Caenorhabditis elegans: one gene and its partners. The protein of the gene in region 1 interacts with the protein of each later gene in a pairwise test. Each region holds a gene or a part of one and is shown on either strand. Other genes may lie near its edges. The genes, in order: aldo-2, trak-1, nhr-35 and C40A11.2.

Region 1 (3,909 bases):
TTCTACATTCAAAAAGATAAAAACCAATTCAATAAAATTTTGATGCAGATTTGGAATTGCATCCGTCCAGGAGGTTGGTCAACGTGGTCAAAATGGTCGAAATGTAGAGAAGGTATCCGAAAAAGAAGACGAACGTGTAATAATCCTTTACCAATTGGTACCACTTGTTCTGGCCAGAAAGTTGAGAAGCAATCTTGTGCAATTTCTTCAAATGTACCGGAGTATCTTTTTGGATCCTGGACATCCTGGAATCCATGGTCTCGATGCGATTGTGATCGTAGCCTGAGGATACGGTAGGTTCAAACAATTGGGAAATGTACAGTAACCCAAGTTTCAGAACTCGGCACTGCAAAGGTAATTCCTGCGAGGGATGTGACAAGGATTACGAAGATTGCCGCCCAGATGAGTGTCCAATTAGTAAAAAATGGTCCGAATGGACAGATTGGGTGAATTATGGTATGGGTCTCATTACGCTGAAATATATCAACAAATTTGTAATGATTTAATTTCAGGAATTGAGCAAGTACGGTTTTCAGCCTGGTGTTCGTCATCAAACGTGGCGAATACTGAAGTGGGAATACGGAAGGAGACTCAAGACTCAATGAAGCATGGTATTAATTTTAGTTAAAAAATTTCGAAGAACCATAACTTGAAGACTAAATTTGAAAGTTTCAAAGTACAATGTCCACTTTACTGTCTAAATTTTTGTGTTAGTTAACAACATGATAAAAAATTAATGAGAATAATTTCCAGCCAACTGGTCTGAATGGCATATGCATCCAGGAGTTGCATACCGTTATCGTCTTCTTCACAACTCTTCTATTTCCATCGAACACCATCTCTTATCAAGATTCACGTCATCATGTCTTCCCTTGCATTTTGCAATTCCAATATTTTGTTTTTGTATTCTCACGGGTTTCCTTCTTCAAAATATTATTTATTGTGTTGTGAATCGTTTTAAAAGGAGATTCATAAGATTGAATTATTCGTATGATTCAAATCCACGTGACTATCCTTCTCATTTGATTCGTTCTCCGGGTTCCCCGAAAGATGAAAGTTTTTGGTGAATTTCGGATGCTTTCGAGAACAGTCTCTGTCTGCCCATTTCTCACGCCACGATAATAAAAGTTATCATTGATCTGTACAACGAATACTCTGAGTGAGGTGTTTTTAATTCTTATCACTTCAACTCTTCAGTTTTAAGACTGAAATTCTAAAGAAAAAACATCAGAATTAATTATACTTTTAAAGAGAGGCGTACTTTCGCAAATGGGTCTCGCAGCGCAAGCCAACGACTAACAACGACAATACCGCACATTTAAATTCAATTTTAGGATTCATTTTTTCATTTCCAAATTTTTCGGTTTTTTCTATAAGAAAACAGCCGAAAACTTAAGAAAATAATTCCTGCACAATTGTGAAAAATTGTTTTTAAAAAATTGTGCACAATTTTATTAATTAAAAAAAAATTTTTGTGTAGTTTTTTTAAGGGATTTATCTACTTTATCTATAGATTAATTTGCCGAATTGACATACTCTTTAAAAATAGGCCTCAAAACTTTCTATCTCGGAATTTTTCGATCATCCTAAAGTAGTACAAGAATATCACGTTTCAGTTCTCTGCGCGCCAACAATATTTGGCGCCGCCCGTTCGCCGTCTCCCGTTTTTGCGCACACTCTCGGCGACTGTACTGATTCTCTACACTCTCCGCCTCCCCATTTTCTCGACCGTCCATTTCATTTCGCATCACTTCTATTTTTCACGATGGCAACTGTCGGAGGCGCTTTCAAGGACTCTCTTACCCAGGTTTGTTGATCATTCATCATTTTGTAATGCCCTTCTTAGTTTAATTGTTGTATTTCTAGGCTCAAAAAGACGAGCTTCACCAAATCGCTCTCAAAATTGTTCAAGATGGAAAGGGAATCCTCGCCGCCGATGAATCCACTGGTGAGCTATTGGAAAAATTCTTCTAGAACTAGAAAATCGAGATTCTTATCTTCTCACAATCATCTTTTGACAATTTTTCTATTCAATAAGAATTAGCGACTTATGTTCAGAAGTTCAAAAAATAAATTTTCACGGTCTAGCGATCATATTCTGTGCCCTCTATCGCCTCCAATTTTCGATGTTTATGTTGTTGAAATTGGAGATGTTGATGCATTGATAGTGCGAGTGATAGATAAAATTGTAGATAGAAAGAAAGATAACATGTAGAAATGATATTGGGGAAGACCGATTTCTTCTTTTTTATAATGCAGCACATCGTGACCCGATCAATTTGCAGGCACAATCGGAAAGCGTCTTGATGCCATCAACCTCGAAAACAACGAGACAAATCGTCAGAAGTATCGTCAACTCCTGTTCACTACTCCAAATCTCAACCAGCACATCTCCGGAGTGATTCTCTACGAGGAGACATTCCATCAAAGCACCGATAAGGGAGAGAAGTTCACCGATCTTCTCATCAAGCAAGGAATCGTCCCAGGAATCAAGCTCGATCTCGGAGTTGTCCCATTGGCTGGAACCATTGGAGAGGGAACCACCCAGGGGCTCGACAAGCTTGCCGAACGTGCCGCTGCTTTCAAGAAGGGAGGATGTGGATTCGCCAAATGGCGTTGTGTTCTCAACATCGGAACTCACACCCCATCTCACCTCGGAATGCTCGAGAACGCCAATGTGCTAGCCAGATACGCTTCTATCTGCCAGGCCAACGGACTTGTTCCAATTGTCGAGCCAGAGGTTCTCTGCGACGGAGAACATGATTTGGCTCGTGCCCAGAAGGTTACTGAGCAAGTTCTTGCCTTTGTGTACAAGGCTCTTGCTGATCATCACGTGTATCTCGAAGGAACTCTTCTCAAGCCAAACATGGTTACTCCAGGACAATCGAGCGCGTCGAAAGCTTCACACGAGGCAATTGGATTGGCTACCGTAACCGCCTTGAGACGCGGAGTTCCAGCTGCAGTTCCAGGAATCACTTTCCTGTCTGGAGGGCAATCCGAACTTGATGCCACTGCTAACCTCAATGCTATTAACTCGGTAAATTTAAACGAAATGGAATAACCTTATATCACTCATTTCTATTTACAGGTTCAACTCGGAAAGCCATGGAAGCTCACCTTCTCTTATGGACGTGCTCTTCAAGCTTCTGTGCTCAAGGCATGGGGCGGAAAAGACGAGAACATCGCTGCCGCTCAGAAGACACTCCTTCACCGTTCCAAGGCCAATGGAGATGCATCTCTCGGAAAGTACGCCGGAGAAGACGCAGCTGGAGCCGCCGCCGAGTCTCTCTTCGTTGCCAAGCATTCCTATTAAGCGATGACGCATAACTTCCTGTGAATAGATTTTTCGCAACCTCGTCCCCAAGATTGTATAATTTCACTGACCCCGAAATGAAGTTTTATTTCACCGAAATTTTATATTTTATGAAACCCGAAAACTAAAAATCACCAAAAGTGGGAATATTAAGGATCTACTTCAATATATTCAAACAATGCTCTCTTTGCTTCCGAACTCTTGCTTGCTGATATCATTCTTCCGAAGTGGTGTCTGATCAACAATCGATAGCTTCCCTTCTGCACTCAAAGTGAGAAGACATTCAGGAATATTCAGCTCACTCCATCCAAATGCCCAAAGATCATACACCTAAAATCAAATAATCAATTGATCATTCTCTGATCTTCCTCACATGAATGAATATTTGACGGACATGTTTAGTGACAATTGGATCTTCACTGATAAGTTTATGACGCAATTTTACAATGATTCGTTCGACGAGATATGAATTCAAATCGTGAAGAACGCGACCATTCTCGCTGAGAAGTATCCCGGCTGTCTGAAATTAAAAAATTCTAGATTTTTCAGAAAAATGTTTCTGTGGAAACCTCTAGATCTTCGGTATCTGGAGCATC
Region 2 (6,224 bases), on another chromosome or scaffold:
CACATACAATGGCTTTATGCCGAAAAAATTAGGAAAAAGTATGTTTACCACAACAAAAAAAACATTAAGTTCAAACTTGGGCGTTGTACCTGAAAAAGGAAGTTACATATATCTTTTATATATATTCCTGAAGTCAAGCCTCAAAAATGTCAGTGAAAGCTGGTGAATATATTTTTTCATATGGGCAGACTGTATATCTTCAAATTTTATTCAACTGCGCTCCAGCGGTTGCCAAAATGTTTTGGTTTGGCAAGGTTTGGTTTTAATTGTTAATACCGCATGCAAATAGTCTGGGATTTGAAAATATCTCATAATGTATGAAAAAAGTGACAGATGTTTCCTGAAAAACTATCCAAAATTTGATAACTTTGGCGTTTTCGAAAAATTCCAGCAATTTTGATGGTTCACAATGTTTTTTTGACAAACGTCGCGTTTGCTGATTTTAAGAAATTATAGCGTTTTTTTTTCTTATTCTCCTTCTTAAACTGATTACCACCTTTCGCCATTTTTCATTGAGAAATTCGAAATTTATTAACGATACATAATTTCAATACAATTTAAATTCCAAAAAAGTCAAACATTTGGCTTAAAAGCAAAAACCGGTTTACACACATTTCAAGACACTAAATTTCTAGCTGTTTAAAACAAATAAAAACAAAAAAAATCAAGTTAAAAGCTCTAATTTCTTAAGTATTTTTCAAATAAGTATTAGTGAAATTTCAATTCAAAAATTAGGTGGAGTGGGGGTAGAACAAATCGAATCATTTTAAAAAATGTACATGTATTCAGAAATTGAGAGGAAACATTTGTTAAAGTAAAAGCCATTTTCCTTTATCTTCTTGATAAAACACCGTGGATTGCACCAATTTTCGTGAGACCACCGTCAGATGTTCCAGGTGATAATGAGAGTGATAAACTTCGATGTTGAGGTGATGTTGATGGAGACGTGAGAAGCTGGAATTTACAATTGTTTAAAAAATGTTACTAAGAGGGGCGGGCAAGTATTTTGGTTGGATAGAAAGAACATAATTCTAGAGGTCAAAAATATAGTCCAAAATAAACCTAGTAAAGAAATATTTCCAATTTTAAATGAATGTCTGTAATAGAGATGTGCGGCTTTTGGAAAATTCGACTAATACCAAGTGCCAAACAATTGGCAAAATGTCAGTGTTAGTTAATTTCTAACTGTCAATTAAACTAGTGATTCCGTTCCTTTGGTTTGTCTATAGTATTCCTTTTTATGCATGAATTAATCAAAAGTTTTCTTTACTAATTGTAAGTAATAAATGCCAAATTTTTAAACTTAATTCATATCTTACCTCTGCTCTCGTCAACACTCCTTGTCTGAGACCCAATGCTAATGACTGTTCGGCATGTCTTGGTTTCAGACTCTGAATCATTCTGACTCCGTATGCAGCACTGAAATCCATCCATGATGTTTCATTTGATTGACGACGGTCCTGTAATGAGAGAGTTTGGTTAGATAAGCACTTCAATCAATATTTTAATAAAAACTGTTAACATGACAGGGCAGCTACCGAAAAGTTAATGTACTTGAGGGGAGGTTTGGACTTCCAATAATCAAAACTTTGTTTCAAACCTCCCTCATTTGATAATTGATAGAAAAGGAAAGAAGTAGACTACCTGAGAACCGAAAAACTGTTGCTGATCGATACCTTTCCGCTGACAAAACGCCGCAAACTCTTTTTGCACCTGAAACTAACATATCCGATTAGAGTTAGTATAAAGCTCGGTTAAAGTGCAAATCACCTCTTCCCTAGCCTTGATTACTTTCAAGGAGATATCCAGATCACGAGTTCCAGGCATTCCCGGTTGTCCTAGTTTTGACTCTGCGTAAGACGATGCGTCATAAATAGTTGTAGATGGAACATCGAAACTTTGAGCATGTGGACGATTACCTGAAAATAGACATGACTAATGTCAATCGACGCAAAATAAGAAAATTTACTCACCTATATGCAACCGTTGTAACTTGCTCAAATTGCTCTTACTCGGGCTGCTACACGGGATATACTTTCGTGCCACAATCGGTGTGGACACGGCTTCTTCGCTGGGGAAGCTAAGTTGGTTGGTCTAAAAAAAAATTTTTTGAAAATTTTTTTTGCCTAATAAGTTTTACCTCAGCATAATGTGCGTTAATGCCAGAGACCGAAGGAGTTGTGACATCGTCGTCCTGTATCGTTGGAGTAGAATCACGATAGATATCTGTGCATGAAGTGCTCGCATCACAGAGAGCCGCCAGTTTTGATGAGGTAGCAAAGATAGGCTCTGCGATCGAGGGAATTTGATACTGGAAGAATATATTATTATTCGAGTTGTGTAAGTCGAAATTGTACCTTTTCTGAGTGTTCAATCTCAGCTGCCAAGCTCATTGGACCACCTGCATCAATTCCACTATCATTTGCATAGCTATCTCTCCCCGTAAGAACTGTCAATTGTGTTGTGCGACCCGCTGGTGAAAACTCGGAGTTTTCCATTTCAGACGCAAGGGAGTCATAGAGAGAGTCATAAGACACTGAAAAATTTGAAGAATTCAGTCAAGTTGATGTTGTATAAATCTTACTTCTTAAGTTCCCGGTACTTCTGAGCTTATTCAACTCGGATTCAGTTTCCGCAAAATTAGCCATGAGCTCCGCGTATTGATCCTGCATCTCTTTGTGCTCAGCTTGCATTGTGTCATGTCTTTGGATCATCTCAATGAGTATCGCACCCATTTCTTCTTTTTCCATTGAGATCTGCAATAAAAAATCGTTTCTTGCAGCTCGCAAAGCATCTAAGAACCTACCATTCTTTCTTTCTTATCCTTATCCGCCAGTTCATTCATCAGCTTTCCAGTGTTCTCATATTGTTGATTGAGTTCTGTTGTTTTTTGTTCAATCAACTTTTGCAAGCTGATCACTTTGTCATTTGTGTAATCCAACTGTTTTTCTAGCAGGTATGAACTATTCTTCTGAGCAGTGACTATAGCGGATTCTTGCCGGAGAAGATCACATTCTTGGCGAAGTCTTAAATTGTGAATATGTGAAATTTTGGTCAGAGCACGTTCCTAGCATATGGATGTGCTTCAGAACATAAGTGAGCCTGCAAGCGGCAAGAGCGTGAAGTGAGAGTGTGAAAAAAAAAAGAACATAGGATTTTCAGTTGAGCAATCACCAAAAACCCAAAGTTATTCGTGGCAACGGAGCTTGAGAGGCTCTGAGAGCAATAATGATGGCATTATCAGGATCTTTGTTTTTTAGACTATCAATCGTTCCCCTTATCCAAAAACTGCACAATTTTGAACTCGATCGCCCACCCACTATCAATTACGCTGGCTTATTTGATTATTTGACAAACCTCTCGTTTTCCGATTTTGTGGATTTAAGCCGTTCTCGGAGTGCCTCGTCGCTGTTTGACCTGCAATTGAGTTTTTTTAACTTTGAAAAACGAAGAAGCAAGAGAACAAGATTTTGATCTCCACGCCACGCTTGATATAAATTTAGTAAGTTGTTTATTCCACAACGAATATTAACACAATGACCAACTGTGATTCGGCTCTTTCTTGTCGAAAAGTTTTAAACAAAAATCTTACCTTGGTAAACCATCATCATCTAAATGTGAGTAGACCCTGAGTAGCTCAATTCGTTGATTAAGCTCATGTTTCAGTTGAACAATTGTGTCCAGGTTCTTGTTGACACTCTCCTCGAGGAACTCATTTCTGAAAACATTGATTTTTAGAGCTTATTTTTAGAACAAGGAAATAGTCCCTATTTTCTAGAACTTTTATTCGCATACTAATCCTATCTTCCCTCCACTCGTCATTAAAACAAGTGTAATTGATACTTGAACTCGGTGGGCTTAATTAGAAAACACTCACTTTGTCTGAAGATCTTTGTTCTGCTCCAACAACGATTGGCCAATCTTAGCCGCAAGCTCAAGATCGTGATTTTTCTGAAAAAAACATGTTTTAATAGTTGAAGATCATGAATTCAATACTAAAAAATAAAATCGAAAACATTTTATATTTCTTTGTTTCACAATGTTTACTCTACAATTTTTACCATTCGATTTTTTCGATTACTAAAATAAGTTTGAAATAAGAACAAGTTAAGGCATACCTTTTCTAAAATAACCATGAGACCATTGCAGTCGAGCTCGTTGAGAGCACACGACGGATCAAGTGGAGAGGAGTTTCGAGTTGGAGTTGGGCTCATTCGGCTGACAGCCCAAACATTCGAAAATCTGGAAAATAAAAACTATTAGACTGAAAGGATTCAAGATAAAATGGTTATCAAATTTGATCTATGGAAAACGAAAAATCAAGGGGGAGAACCTCAAGAAAAAACGATAAAAGCGGACGGGCGGCACTAGTGAAAGAGAATTAGAGAAAAAATGGGAGGAAAGGAAAGGTATACTCATTGTTTCTTTTTCAAACTGTTTGACTGTGAGAGAAAGAATGTATGTTTGTACTTTTAGTACCGTTAAGTGAAAAGGTATCGAGGAAAAGAGAGAGGAAACGAACATGTGTTTGATTATAATTTTAATAGTCGTTTGGAAGAAAAACAACGGTATATAAAGAAGACTTTCATGCGTTTAATTCTATTCATTCCCAGAGCCAGGCCTGTGCGGCTTTTCGCAATTTTCGACATATGCCAAATATCGCACAGAGTGTTTCCAACCCACCGAGAATATCCGAGAAAATAGAGAACTTTGCCACTATCATAAAATGAGAAGATTGCATTTTCAAATTAATACCGTATTTATCTTGGCTCATTTTGTGTAGATCAAAAATAATTAACTACAACCCTATATATGGTACAACGGTTTTTTTCTAATTTTCAGGTAAAATTTTTTGATATAACAAAACATGTTCACTGCCAAAGTGGTGCAACTTACTTTGTCGAAAATTCAGGGTTTTTCATATTTTTGTATTTTCACGATAAAAAATACAACAAAAATGAAAAAAGAAGAAAACACCTCGTCAGCATAGCTTTCTTTACTAATCCTTATAAATCCGAATAGCTTTTGAATGAAAATGGGAAGATGAGACAGACATTGTGACTAAGAAGCAGGAGTGGGTGAATGATGCGGAAACGTTCTGTTCGGGCTACGGGAATTTCTGGTTATCGTTTCAGATAAATTCTTTGATTTGATGCTCGAAACTTAGAAATTTAGCGGCTTTCCTATACATATTCCTAAGCACACAAACAAACGCACACGAATATATTATATTCAAATCAAAAGAGGGGGATAGGTGTCGGTTTGTCGTGGTTGAGGAAGGGAGGTGCTCAAGTTTAGCTAAACAAATCCTCAAGCCATATGACAGCTTGCGAAAAGGAGCATGAGAAGGTCAGGTGCGAAAATCGTAATGTTAAAGGTTGTCCTTCTAGCCTCACCCTCTGTCAAAGGATGGATGTGGCCGCCTGGTGACGTCACTCTTCTTCCTGGGAGTCAACCATGATGGGACACGCTCCAAAATCGTAATAAACTACAACAACTTCTCACCATGAAACGGTAAGACGTGCGAATGGTTAAACAATGTGTAGCGACAGGAAATTGGAAGACATGGGGGTAGTATGGGTAAACATGTATTGTTGGTAGTCACTTATTTGCGGTATCTTTTATGTATTTTAGGGTTTTCAAAAAGGCGGGCTTTGAAAAACGGAACACATGGGTGTGAAAACTAATGCTCAAGGTTAACAAAAAACTACACGTAACATTTCGTTTTTCGGTTTTGCAACAAATGGATGTAGGTTTATCCACAAGACTTCAAAGTAAGATGGTCATATTTGGAATCGTATTTTTAGAGTGGATTATCAGAGAAATTTAAACGACAAAATACCTATCCCTTAAATTTTTAATTGAACTTTACTTATTTTAATCACCACAGAATTACCCCGACAATGGATTTTTGCAGACTCTTCATAACTGAAATGTTGCTCAGAGAAGTGCAAAATTTTTGAAATCTTTTTTGAATAAAACTGATAGAACATTTTTCACACAACACAGTCCAAACAATTCTGATTTTTTTTCCGAGAAAATATCAATTCCCAAAAAGTGTTATAAAAAACATTTCTGGCTCCTAAAAACAACATTCACTGAAAAATTTTGAGATTAAAAATTCTGGAGGTAGGTGTTGGGTTTCGCAGTTTCCTGTGATAACCTACATAAACTAAAAAAGAGTTCTAGTATAATAAGACATGTCTCGTTTTAAAGTCTGATAG
Region 3 (7,349 bases), on another chromosome or scaffold:
TGCATACACACATTCGTGCAAAAAAAGTAGTAGTCCACATATTCATGTGTCACGTCCGGAACATTTTCCATCAAAGTCCAATTGTAATAGCAATACCCTGACGTGGTTCTCATTAATATGGTGCACATGACTGGCTAAGAGATGAACTGATTTTTGTTCTCCGGATGGTAATTTTTACAGACTAGGGAGAGGATTGGCAAAATTTCGATCGAATGGCTCAGTGAATAATATATTTTCGAACAACTTGTAAATTCTCAAACTTTGTTTCAACTCCATTTAGAAAGCATCTGCGAATTTTTTCAAAGAACCCACGCACCTGGCTGCAGTGTGCATCAAAATGGACCTCAATTTTCAGCATGACTTCACTGAAACATCACTTCCCTCTTGCCATCTCCGTCCATTTTTAGGGGTGCACTGCCAAATGCCAAACAAAATGTAATAACGCGCTTCACGCCCTCGAACAAGACGAGCACCGAGAAGAGGGGATGTCGTAAATTAAAATCCTGTTTGGATTTTGGGGTGTGTGGAACGATGAAAAACTATTCAGATTTCAGATTCAAAGATTTTATGAAAAGATTGTGTTTTATAACAGATCATTGAAAACTGTGAGAAAATTATAAAAATTATATTTATTAGGGGGTGGGAAACAAAATATATTCTTAACAAATGAGTTTGCTCTAACCCGTCAAATTGTGTTTCAATGGCATTTTCTGGGAGTTCAAATAACTTTTTTCTGGTGAATTTTCGGGCATTGTCAAATATCACAGTTTGAGAACATGAAACGGATAGATAGAATAGACACTTGGATTAAAAAGTTTTTTTTGAGAATCGACTACTATGAGTAAGTGTTTGGATATTGGTTGTAGCTAGAAGTGAACGGAGCATACGGCAGGTTTAGGTGAGAGGAGTCGGCAAATTGTGGTGTGTGAGGTCTGAAATGTAACATTTTTAGAATTAAAACTTATAATAAAAACTTCTTACTGTGGAGTTGTGTATTGTGTTCCGATTCCTGACATCATAGCATCGTCTGTTTTGAGCAAGAGGCCGGCAGTGAGAGATCTGCAAAAAAAGTGACAATTGAATTTGAAACTGCAAAATTTTCTTCACATTAATGTTCGATCGTTCTGCTAGTTTGATTTAGTGGTGGTCTTGAAAATATTCACCGCCAACTCACGGGGTTTTGCAAATCCCGGAAGACGTGGAAAAAGTGGAATAAATTTTTCAAGTGCCTTCACCACGGTGGCATTATTAACCGCAAGGGATCACAAAAAAGTTAATATTCAAGTGTGTTGAATTTATGGTTTTGCAAGAAAAGGGAACGCGTGAGATATCCCAATAGGGTAATTAAAAGGAAATGCTATGTGATTCTTGAAATTTCGGAGCTTTCATAATTTGCAAAACACAGAAAGAGGGAACATTGAAAATTGGGAACAGCTTTGCGAAAATGAGCTTAATTGTTTGATTTTGAATTAATCAATAAAACCGGTGGCTTTTTACTAAACAGTTAAACCCTGGGTTTATGTTTGCCCTTATTTCCTCTATCAGTATTGCAACACATTGTTCAACTTTGGCAGCTCATATTTCAGTTGTCGTTATCGTTATATAACTTGTTATTTAACTAGTTATCCACAAAATGCACCGAGGTTTAGCATTTCAAAGTGTAGTAATTTTTTTCATGACTACGCAAGTTCTATGGGCAGCCACAGAATGTGCATCACTTTAAAAAATAACAGGAACATTTACATTGTGTGTTTTATTCTAATGTGTTCAAGGTTTTGTGCGTATTGTTTGACTACAATTTATATGAGCTGAAAAATGCATATGCTCCGTAGCTCAAGCTGCTTCTTGAGTAACAAAATGTAAATTGTCAGACGGTTTTCAAGTTAAACTTGATGTTTTTTCCAGCAAAATTCGTGAACAATAAAACAAATGTGTTGTTTACTGAGTCAATTTCATACTGTACCTCTCTACATACTGAAGTCATAAACTCAATGGTCAACACTATGCTGGACTTGCGCGCACATCTTCTCGGAGCAAATTTTGATAATGTTGATAATTTGAAGTCTACAGTTGAATGTCACCTTTTAACTAGGACATTTCGATGCTCACATCTTGTGTGATCAAGCCAACACAAATAGAGATAAATCAATGACTCATTCTTAAAATTTGGCCGTTAAAGATTAGATTTGACATTATGTACCTAGTTCATCGCTTTACGTCTGGCGATATCCAAGTCTACGTCAATAAGTTGCAAAATGAACGTCAATGGACTGAGGGCAGGATCACACAGTTCACACCTTTGGTGTTTGCTCATTAAAACTCGTACGCCCTAGACTCTGTTGAAACAACTCCGCGAAGGAGGAATTTCCGCAAATAAAGATGGAATAAATGCTGGACTTGATCATTTGAAACGATCTTTGATAGAGGAAAACAAATGACTCACGAGTTTGTGGGAGAGTTGCTTGAAGTGGAGGTTCGCAGAAGATCCTCCGGGCACGGTGAACACATATCTTGGCTTCCCGACGGTGTGTCGTTCATAATTGAGCATGGAGTTTGATCTTGAAAATATTATTTTAGGAATAAATTTTATTAACTAATTACATACCTTGTCTATCTTCCCCGTAATCAGTTTCAGCCAATATCAGTTCTTCCATCAAAACATCAATTCTCGCAACACCGCTGACTTTTGTGAACATGATATCTTCCGAAATTGATTTTGAAAGAACCTGATGTATTCAAAATCGTACGAATAGATGCTAAAGAAAAGCTTTACCGAAAGCGGTGTGAGAATGAAAAATGTCAAATCTCCGACTCGTGTGGTTTCCAGCGGTTTGTTCACTCTTACATATTTTTCGAATGCGGCGAAAATTTTCCTTCTTGCGTTAAGGACCAAATTAACAGCATGGTTGGATAGACCCGGTGCCACTGAAATTAATATATTAGTGTTTTGAAAGCTATTCTAATATGAGCTTAAGATAATAGCTGACATGCATTAGAACAACTAAAGGTAGACTACTGCCAATGGAAAAATGATTTTGATCGTGATAAATTTTTTCGAAAAATTTATGGATTTGTTTCTAATCAAAAAGTGGTGAAAGCCAAATTTTTGGGAAACTAAAGCATTGTCACATGTTCGAGCCCCGACAATGTTGAAATATGAACTATTTAAACATAATCAGAACAACATTTTTAAAGAATTTTATTATGATGTTTGGTTCCTTTAGCACCATTTGAACCGTATTGAAATCCCCACCTGCCCGTACTCCATTTTTTTGTATTTTTTTAAGAAAATAAATTGTTTTTCCTAATAATTTTGCAATGTATATTATCATTTAATATTTTTAAGCTAATTTTGTTTTAAAAAGCCTCAATATTTCCCTCACAAAATATTTACCGGGATTGAAAAGAACGCAAGCTTTGAGAGCCACAAATTCCTTGTTGTCGAGCTTCAAAAATCGCATTGGTTCCACCAACTGGTCCATCACTTTTTCACAGTCACGTAAATAGAATCCATCCACACTAAAAAGCAACATTAAAAACATTGTATATTCTAGCATCCTCTTACTATTCTTTCAGATGTGGTGTGGTTTTTGAAGCCCTTGGAATGTAGAGATCGTTGAGAAGTTTCAAAGCGTCATTTGCACCAACAGAGCGATAAGCCACACAAAGAGTCACGTGCTGACCAGCAAAGTTTTTGAGAAGAACGGCCTGAAAGCTTGGGAAGTTTTTTTTTTCATTTTCTTTAGCGGTTTGTTAAAACTGATTAGCACACAATTGTACAGTTGTGCTTGCTTTGTAATCAACAAAAAAAGGACGAAAGAACTCCGTTATCAATTTACATCTTATTGGAATTCCTCTAACCGACCAGTTTTGTTCAATGGCTCTTACCTGATCAGCACCGGAAAGTTGTTTAAATTCCGGCAGTGTTTTCGCCCATTCTATGACCAGCAAAAGTTGACTGTGCATGGATTTAAGGACGTCGTTCAAAGTTGCTGTTCGGTCTGTGTGGGACAATCTCTGAAATTTGAAACCTCCAGAAGAACAGCTTTTTGGTCTAAAACAAACATTCTTAGATTTGGTGGTGTATTCCACATTTCCGGTCTGCGTGATCACTGTATCACGAAGACTTTGAATCGTCATCTCCGACTTCAAGAGGCTTTCCAATAGTTGATCGTACTCATCTTCCACTGGGGACATTGTTAGTTCGGGTGAGGTTCTCGGAGTCGGGTCTTGACAATAGGTTTTCATGTTGTCTTTTTTTTCTCTGCAAAATTTCCATGATTGATCAATGGTTTTAAAAAATCCTGTAGTGCAAAAATGTTTAATTTTTCAAATTTACAGTCAAAAAGTGGTAAAAACTGAAATCATAACTTTGGATGTTGACCAAAAAAGGTTTTTTCTACGAATATTATTTTTAACTGCTTTTCCAATGTTTATGTTCAACAATTCTTGGTCTCAAATCTACAGCAACGACTAAAATTTGTTTAAAAACTAATTTTGAGTATGACATTTAGTCATGGTTGATTACCATGACGTATTTAGTCTAAATCTTCACTAATAATACTTTTCCATCATTAAGAACAAAAGATCATAACGTGATAATTTTAGCTTCATCGTTTCGCTTGACTTGAAAATATCTGAGTTTCCCCTGAATAAGTATTCGAAAAGTTTTGGTCATTAGTTAGTTCTAATAATCATCGTTTCTACGCTTCAATAGTGTTACACGGGTGAAAAGATATTTTGAAAATGTAAGATCAACCATCAAAAAGTTACTATTCTATTTATGTCTCATATACGAATTTTTAAAAGTTTTAAATTTTCAACTTTGTATACTCACCTTTTACCAATTACATCCCTTTCACTTTGAACTTGATCGTCGCGCATTCCGGATGAAATACATTTCATAAAGCGACAGTAACGACACACTGCGCGGTTATCTGGAATAAAAAAATTAGACTAATTTGGATAAATAAAGGGTACGTACGCTTGTCAATTTCACACTTCGACTCAAATCTACAATGATATTCATAGTTCCGTCGAACGGTTCGTCTGAAAAATCCCTTGCATCCGTTACAAGCAATTGCTCCGTAGTGTCTTCCAGTCGCCACATCACTGCAGATATGACAAATGGAGTTGTCTTTTCCTGAATAATAGAAAATGTAAACTATCATCACAGATAGTGGAAAAATTACCATCCGTTTCTGCTTTGCTGTCACCGTTGTATGTTCCCAACATTTGACCTCTGTAATAATGAGAAATCAATAAAGTAGGTTCAATGGCGGGGTGGCGGCCGTGAGGTGGTGTGGAGCGAAATGAGAATAGGACAAGAAGGCAAACAAAACAATCGAGAGAGCGGGCGTGGGATGGGGTGAAGGTAAAACCAGCGTGTATTTTGTTTCCCATTCTCTCAATCTATTGATCCAAATGGTCGAAGAGAGATAGTTGATCAATTGATGCCAAATGCAAAAAAAGGACGGTATTTGAAACAACTCTGTTCAAAGCTAGTTAGAAGTGCAAAATTTTTATAATGTAGGACAGAAATGCGGACAGACACACGATGCATCCCAATCGGACGCTTATCAAAAAGTGGGAAGCGTGCTTTCCATCGAATCAATAGCCGAATGTGGCGTGATTGTCAGCATTACTGTAATTTTTAGACAACTGATTAGCTTTGCCGATTGCCTCCCGAAACCATCTGAAAAACAATTACCACCAGTGGAGGACAATTGTAAGTTCAGGCGTGGGAAACGAGAGGAATAAGATGAAGAAACGACATGTGATAGGGGGATGGCAACAGCGTGTGTATCTGTGTGTGTGAGTGTGTGTCGGGATGTGTGACAGGAATAAAAGAGACAAGAGACACATGTCATGTTGAGAAGAAGACAAGGTTGCAGAGAGAACGCTCAGCCACACAGTCTATGATTGTTCGAAGAGTGCTCAGGTGTTGTGGACTACAATGTAGGGGCAGTAATAGATTCAGGTGTGGACCATTGCGCGATTTGCTCTACCGAATCGTAGATTTTTGGAGTATTATTTACTGAATTTCTTAGGAATTTTAGGATATAGGGCATGACTGATTATGTTTTTTCCCTTTTTCCAAATACGAAATTAATGCTCTTCAGTAAAACCAAGAAAGTAACCTATTGGGAAACCTAGATCTTAAAGGCTTATTATCATTATTGAAAAACCGTATAAATCAATACGGACAAATTTTTACAGTTTAAAAGTAAACATTAATTAGTTTTGTCTTTCATAATTTTAGAAGTCAATCAAAAACATGTTTTCTTTAAAATTTACAAGTTTTACTTAAGTTTCAAATATTTGTATTTGAACAATTAGAACGATGAGGTCTGAGGCATATAGAATTTTTTTTCTTAATTTCTCAACAAAACCAAATATTTGCAAAATTTGGCAATTTACCACAACGTTTTTTGTATCTGAACATTGCAGGTGTTTCAATATGAAAAATTTGCTCTAAATTTCTCAACAAAAAACTAAACTTTTCATAAATGTGGCACTCTGCCAAAAATTTGACAGAAAATTTTGAAAAATCTGAAAATTGGTGCAGACTTTTTTTTTGATATTTGGATTTGTCGGACCATAATCACTATATTTTTACAAAATTTCATTGACGCTACTTGACGATTTTCATTAAGAATCTCCAATAAATGTAGTGCTCAAAAAAATAAATTACAATTCTTGTGAAAGAATCTATCTCTATTAGAGGCAAGTCAACAAATTCCAAAATAAAACCTGAAATTAAGCTACATGGCAGTCATTCTGGTTTACAAGTGAGAATTGAAGAACATAAGTGAAAATTATATTTCAACGGTTCGATGAGACTTATCGAGAGACATAGTTTTTGCTACCATTTCCAAAATCATATTTGAAAACTGTTTGTCCAGCTGCTAATGCTTTAAAATATATGCATTGAATATGTACTTCAACATTCATTTTCACGCTTTATATACATGACTGAAATATGTTTCCATTATGAAACAAGACTTTCATTTCGTTAATGACACAACTTGGATTAAGGTAACTTGGTGACATAATAAAGATTGACGGGTGTTTCTAGTTTGATTTTGGGTCTATGTAGTTCCGTGCGAGAAATTTTGTTTTTAACACTAAGCAAAACTTTCTCACAATTTTCTCATGTGTTTCTGATTTAAAACGAAAAAAATCGCGAAAAAACGCAGTTATCAGGAAAATAATTTGTGACCTTAAAGAAATGAACACATTAAAACGTTTTCGTCAAGATAAAAATCACTTTCTGTCCGGTAGTTGAAAAAAATATTCAAGATAACAAGAATGCCAACCACGAGGTTAGAAAAAAGAGAGCAAAACCT
Region 4 (4,245 bases), on another chromosome or scaffold:
TACAGAGATATTTTTGGTAATTTTTTTTAAAAAGTGCCATATGTTTTCTTAGAGATATAACAGTTTGCATAAATAAAACTACTGTTTTCAACTGAAAAACGCAAAGTTTACTTCAATTTTTAGAAATTCACAGTGACAACCGTAATTTTTATTTTTGATTTTAATATAGAAAATGACACAATTGACTTATTTTTTAAAATTTTATAAAAATTAGATTAAAAAATTTTTGGAAAAAAATTGACCTAAAAATGTTTTTTCATCGCAATTTGTTGAAACATGTCTGATTAATTTATTTAGCGTATTTGTAACAAATTACTTAAAATTATTTTGCAGAACCAATGGATAATCGAGAACCTCTGCCAAAAGATTTAAGGAGACATCGCGGAATGAAATATTACCCTGAACCAGTTTGGAGTTATCGCATCTACAACAGTACGCATTCAGGTTGCGTTGATTTAACAGCTATGGATGATCTACAGAAGAAAATCGATAGTATTTTGAACGGAGAATGAATACCCACATATTATTTAATATTTCAAATGCATTTATCAAATTTTTTACATTTGTTTTATAATGAAAATTCTCGAAAACTTCTCAAAAAGGTACGGCGGCGTCTAGAAGTGATCAACATTTTATTCATAAATTCCCGATTTTCACAGCCTCCCATTAATATATTTCTCCAATTTATCAAAATTTGTAAATGTTTTAAATCCTTTAATCGGAGAGTACAGCCGATAAATCCATGATTGGTGACCTTTATTGACTCCATCTTCACGCCGAGATTTATCAGATTCATCTTCGCATTCACATTGTTCTGAAAATCACTTGTAAATTATTCGACCAATCAGCGCCCGGCCACGCCCACTTTTCGACCAATCAGGTCAAAAACTCACTGAAATAGACATCCAACTTTGGATTTTCGAGAACATATTGAAAATTGAAGGATTCTGGAGAGTTCCAGAGGTGATCATTGTGAACTGTATAGCTGATCACAAGAATTGCTGTCTGAAAAAAAAAATATTTCGAAAATTTGAATGAAGCGCCAAAATTTTCGGCTATGATCATTTTGTGGGAGGAGCTTATCAAGCCCTGCCCCTTTCTTGGTCAAAAATTTTGTTGGGAATCAAAACTGCGAACAAATTTTGACGTTATCTTATAACCCCCGCCCACTCAGTGGGCGGAGCTCACCCCGCCCGCCCATTTAGTGGGCGGAGCCAATCCCGTCCCGCCTCTTTAGTGGGCGGAGCTTGTTAAACCACGCCTCTTATGTGCTCCAAAATATTTCAAGGAACTTGATTTTTGAATTTCGTGCTAAACATTTTAAAGTCTAGAAGAGAACAATTGGGTGTGGCTTATTAAGCTCCGCCCACAAATGGGCGTGCCTAAAAATAATTTTAAAAAATTTTTTAAAGAAAATTCTATAATAAGTTATGAACATTCAGAAAGTTTCAGAAAGTGCCAGAACATTTCATAAAAATTACAAAATCAGCTGAAAACTGTCAGAAAGTTTCAATGAGCCCCAGAACATTTCTGAAATTTTTTCTGAAAATTCTATAAAATTTTTTAAACATTTAGAAAGTTCCGGAAAGTTCTAGAAAGTTCTAGACCATTTTAGAAAAATTTATAAAAGTTATTGAAATTGCTGAAAAATTTCAGAAAATTACAAAAAAATTTTCCAAAGTTAATTTCGTCACATGAACTACGGAGGCCCAGCTTACAAAAGGGGCGTGGCCTCTAAAGCCCTGCCCACTCAATGACGTCATCTATACCTTTTTGCAGTTTGCAATAATATGAAGAAGCTCCTCCGAAGTTTCATATGACCGAATTTTAAGAAAAGAATCACATAGGTCGACTAGACCGTCTAAAAGGTAAAATTCGGCTTCTCTTCTCACTTCTTGCAGTTCTCGTTCAAACTTTGGAAGTTCCACGTCATCACCTTCTTTCAGATATTTTAGAATCAGGCTGAAATTTTTCGGGGACCGATCCACAAAAATGCACCCGGATTCGTCGATTGAGACCTAGAATGGAACATCTCTGAAGTTGCAGGAAGTTCTAGAAAATTCCAGAAGCTTTGAGAAAGATTTCGAAAGTTGTAGAAACTTACAAAACGTTCCAGAATGTTTCAGAACATTCTAGAAAGTTCCAGAAAGTTCCAGAAAGTTCCAGAATCTCTCAGAAAAATTAGGAAAATTTTAAAAGTTGGAAAATTAAATAAAAAATAAAATTGAAAGTTACCGGAATATCACTTGTGAGCATAGTTTTGAAGAAACCATCAAATTTAGTGAGCTTCAGTTTACACGTCTCGAATACCGTACCACCGATATCTAGTTTAATGGGCTCAACTATGGAATCCATTTTGGAAATCGCTGAAAATGAGCGAAATTTGAGGAAAATTGCAGAAAATTGTAGGAAGCTGTAGAAAGTTGCAGAAAATCTGAGAAAGTTGGGAAAGTTCCAGAAAAAAAAAAAATTTTTCAGACAGTTTCAGAACATTTCGAAAAAAAACTCAGAAGACTTCAAACATTTTTTTTCGAAAGTCTAGCAATTTTCTGGGAATTTTATAAATTTGCAGAAATTAAAAAAAAAATCAAAACTTTTCGGAAAACTTCTGAAAGATTCAAAAAACTCTAGAAGTTTTCTGAAAAATTTTAGACATTTCTTAGAGAATTTAGAATGTTTCAACAAAGTTAAGAATGTTCTAAAAGATTTGAGACATTTCAAAAAAAAAATCAGGGAGTTTCAGATAATTTTGTAACATTTTTAAAAAGCTTAGAAACCTTCAGAAAGTTCCATTCCGGTCAACGTTTTGGAATATTGCCAAAATTTTGAAAAATATGAGCTGTTGAGGAAATTTAAAGAAATGTCGCATTTTTCGACCCCTACAATGTTTTGATACAAATAATTTAAACAAAATTAAAACATAAAAAATGTAGAAAAAAATTGTTTTTTTGGTGGATTTCCAAAATTATGAGTGGCAAAAACCGAGTAATTGCCACTTTTTGGCAGTAAATAAAAAATTTTCAAAAATTTTTTGAAACGTTTTCTTATGATATTTGGCCATTTTGGAACCAAAGGGACTTAAGTAGCAATCACAAATTATCTAGTTCAGAAACTGCCAAAATTTTCAAAAAAAAAAACAGATAATTTTAAAAAATTCCAGAAAATTTGGGATAATTTTTTAGAAAATTACAGGAAAACTTATTATGTCATAGGAAAATGGAGAGAGTTCAGGTAAATTAGAGAACATTTTCACCAATACCAGATTAGCCAAACGTTGCTCTCCCGCCGTACTTACTGTGAGCAGATGGTCAGGAAAAATCGATGAGCTCAGAGGGGGTCTCTTACACACTAACGGTCAGATGAACCCAAACCCGGACCATTTTCTTCCATTGAGACGCAGACAGGTTAAGACATCCATCAGACAAATGAGTACGTTAAACTTTTATTGAAGTAAAGAAAATAACAATTTCCAAATTAAGGATCAATTTTCCATTTCATTATTCGCTGTCAAAAAATTCATTGAATCTCCAGAATGCTTCAAAATGTGGCTTGTAATTCAAAAATGTAAAGATTACGGTGCTTGTGCAAATACCAATCGTGGTGGGAGCCCTGGGGTCAGCCTCCCCGTGGTGCTGAGAGCAATGGGTTAGCAGATGGCCACAAAATCGATGTAAAGCGAGACCACTCGACTCATTTGTTCATCAATTTATTCTCTGTGAATACACGTTACTCAATATGTGCTTTTCTGAAACAATTGTCAAGTTGAATGTCGGCGGATCTGTATTCGAGACGTGGAAATCGACACTGACCAAGCAGGATGGATTCTTCAAAACATTAATTGAGACTAATGTTCCGGTTAGTTTAAATTTTTTTTAAATCAACGACAACGAAACAAGACGAAAATCAGGGATACAGTAGAAAAACCTGTAAAACAGAAAATAACAGGACAGGATCGAACGTGAGCATTTGTGATCGTTCCCAATACATTTGCGTTTAATTTTTCAAATTCAGGTTAAAAAGGACACTTCCGATTGTTATTTCATTGATCGCTCTCCAAAGTACTTTGAAACTGTGCTAAACTACATGAGATCCGGTGTTACAGTACTTCCAGACTCTGAAAAAGAACTACAAGAACTGAAAAAAGAAGCCGAATTCTACTTGTTGGAGCATTTGGTAGACTTGTGTGAACCTATAAAAAACAAAATCAGAACTTATGGCTCGTCTCATGAATTGCTGCAAATCATC

The links.
Region 2: the proteins of aldo-2 (region 1) and trak-1 interact in a two-hybrid assay, tested with the Caenorhabditis elegans proteins (one large-scale study listed by BioGRID).
Region 3: the proteins of aldo-2 (region 1) and nhr-35 interact in a two-hybrid assay, tested with the Caenorhabditis elegans proteins (one large-scale study listed by BioGRID).
Region 4: the proteins of aldo-2 (region 1) and C40A11.2 interact in a two-hybrid assay, tested with the Caenorhabditis elegans proteins (one large-scale study listed by BioGRID).

The regions. Positions count from the first base shown.
Region 1 is NC_003281.10:5,874,178-5,878,086, reverse strand, and holds aldo-2 (Fructose-bisphosphate aldolase 2), read left to right. Parts: upstream 1-1,616; 5' UTR 1,617-1,765; coding exon 1,766-1,807; intron 1,808-1,866; coding exon 1,867-1,948; intron 1,949-2,285; coding exon 2,286-3,037; intron 3,038-3,088; coding exon 3,089-3,313; 3' UTR 3,314-3,409; downstream 3,410-3,909. Other genes in the region: mig-21 (Abnormal cell migration protein 21), read left to right, coding at 49-293, 338-456, 513-611, 754-1,067; F01F1.3 (MIF4G domain-containing protein), read right to left, coding at 3,485-3,643, 3,687-3,833, 3,883-3,909.
Region 2 is NC_003279.8:6,121,140-6,127,363, reverse strand, and holds trak-1 (HAP1 N-terminal domain-containing protein), read right to left. Parts: upstream 4,243-6,224; 5' UTR 4,215-4,242; coding exon 4,119-4,214; intron 3,952-4,118; coding exon 3,878-3,951; intron 3,719-3,877; coding exon 3,593-3,718; intron 3,418-3,592; coding exon 3,358-3,417; intron 3,027-3,357; coding exon 2,807-3,026; intron 2,757-2,806; coding exon 2,585-2,756; intron 2,537-2,584; coding exon 2,358-2,536; intron 2,312-2,357; coding exon 2,141-2,311; intron 2,095-2,140; coding exon 1,974-2,094; intron 1,920-1,973; coding exon 1,771-1,919; intron 1,720-1,770; coding exon 1,645-1,719; intron 1,461-1,644; coding exon 1,320-1,460; intron 955-1,319; coding exon 832-954; 3' UTR 505-831; downstream 1-504.
Region 3 is NC_003284.9:4,530,745-4,538,093, reverse strand, and holds nhr-35 (Nuclear hormone receptor family member nhr-35), read right to left. Parts: upstream 5,404-7,349; coding exon 5,193-5,403; intron 5,144-5,192; coding exon 4,985-5,143; intron 4,938-4,984; coding exon 4,838-4,937; intron 4,265-4,837; coding exon 4,066-4,264; intron 4,018-4,065; coding exon 3,889-4,017; intron 3,709-3,888; coding exon 3,566-3,708; intron 3,520-3,565; coding exon 3,395-3,519; intron 2,926-3,394; coding exon 2,774-2,925; intron 2,727-2,773; coding exon 2,606-2,726; intron 2,559-2,605; coding exon 2,444-2,558; intron 1,060-2,443; coding exon 982-1,059; intron 933-981; coding exon 836-932; 3' UTR 548-835; downstream 1-547. UniProt on the Caenorhabditis elegans protein: Orphan nuclear receptor.
Region 4 is NC_003280.10:2,145,073-2,149,317, reverse strand, and holds C40A11.2 (BTB domain-containing protein), read right to left. Parts: upstream 2,369-4,245; 5' UTR 2,356-2,368; coding exon 2,236-2,355; intron 2,019-2,235; coding exon 1,770-2,018; intron 1,006-1,769; coding exon 894-1,005; intron 815-893; coding exon 654-814; 3' UTR 526-653; downstream 1-525. Other genes in the region: C40A11.7 (BTB domain-containing protein), read left to right, coding at 334-512; C40A11.6 (BTB domain-containing protein), read left to right, coding at 3,736-3,855, 4,012-4,245.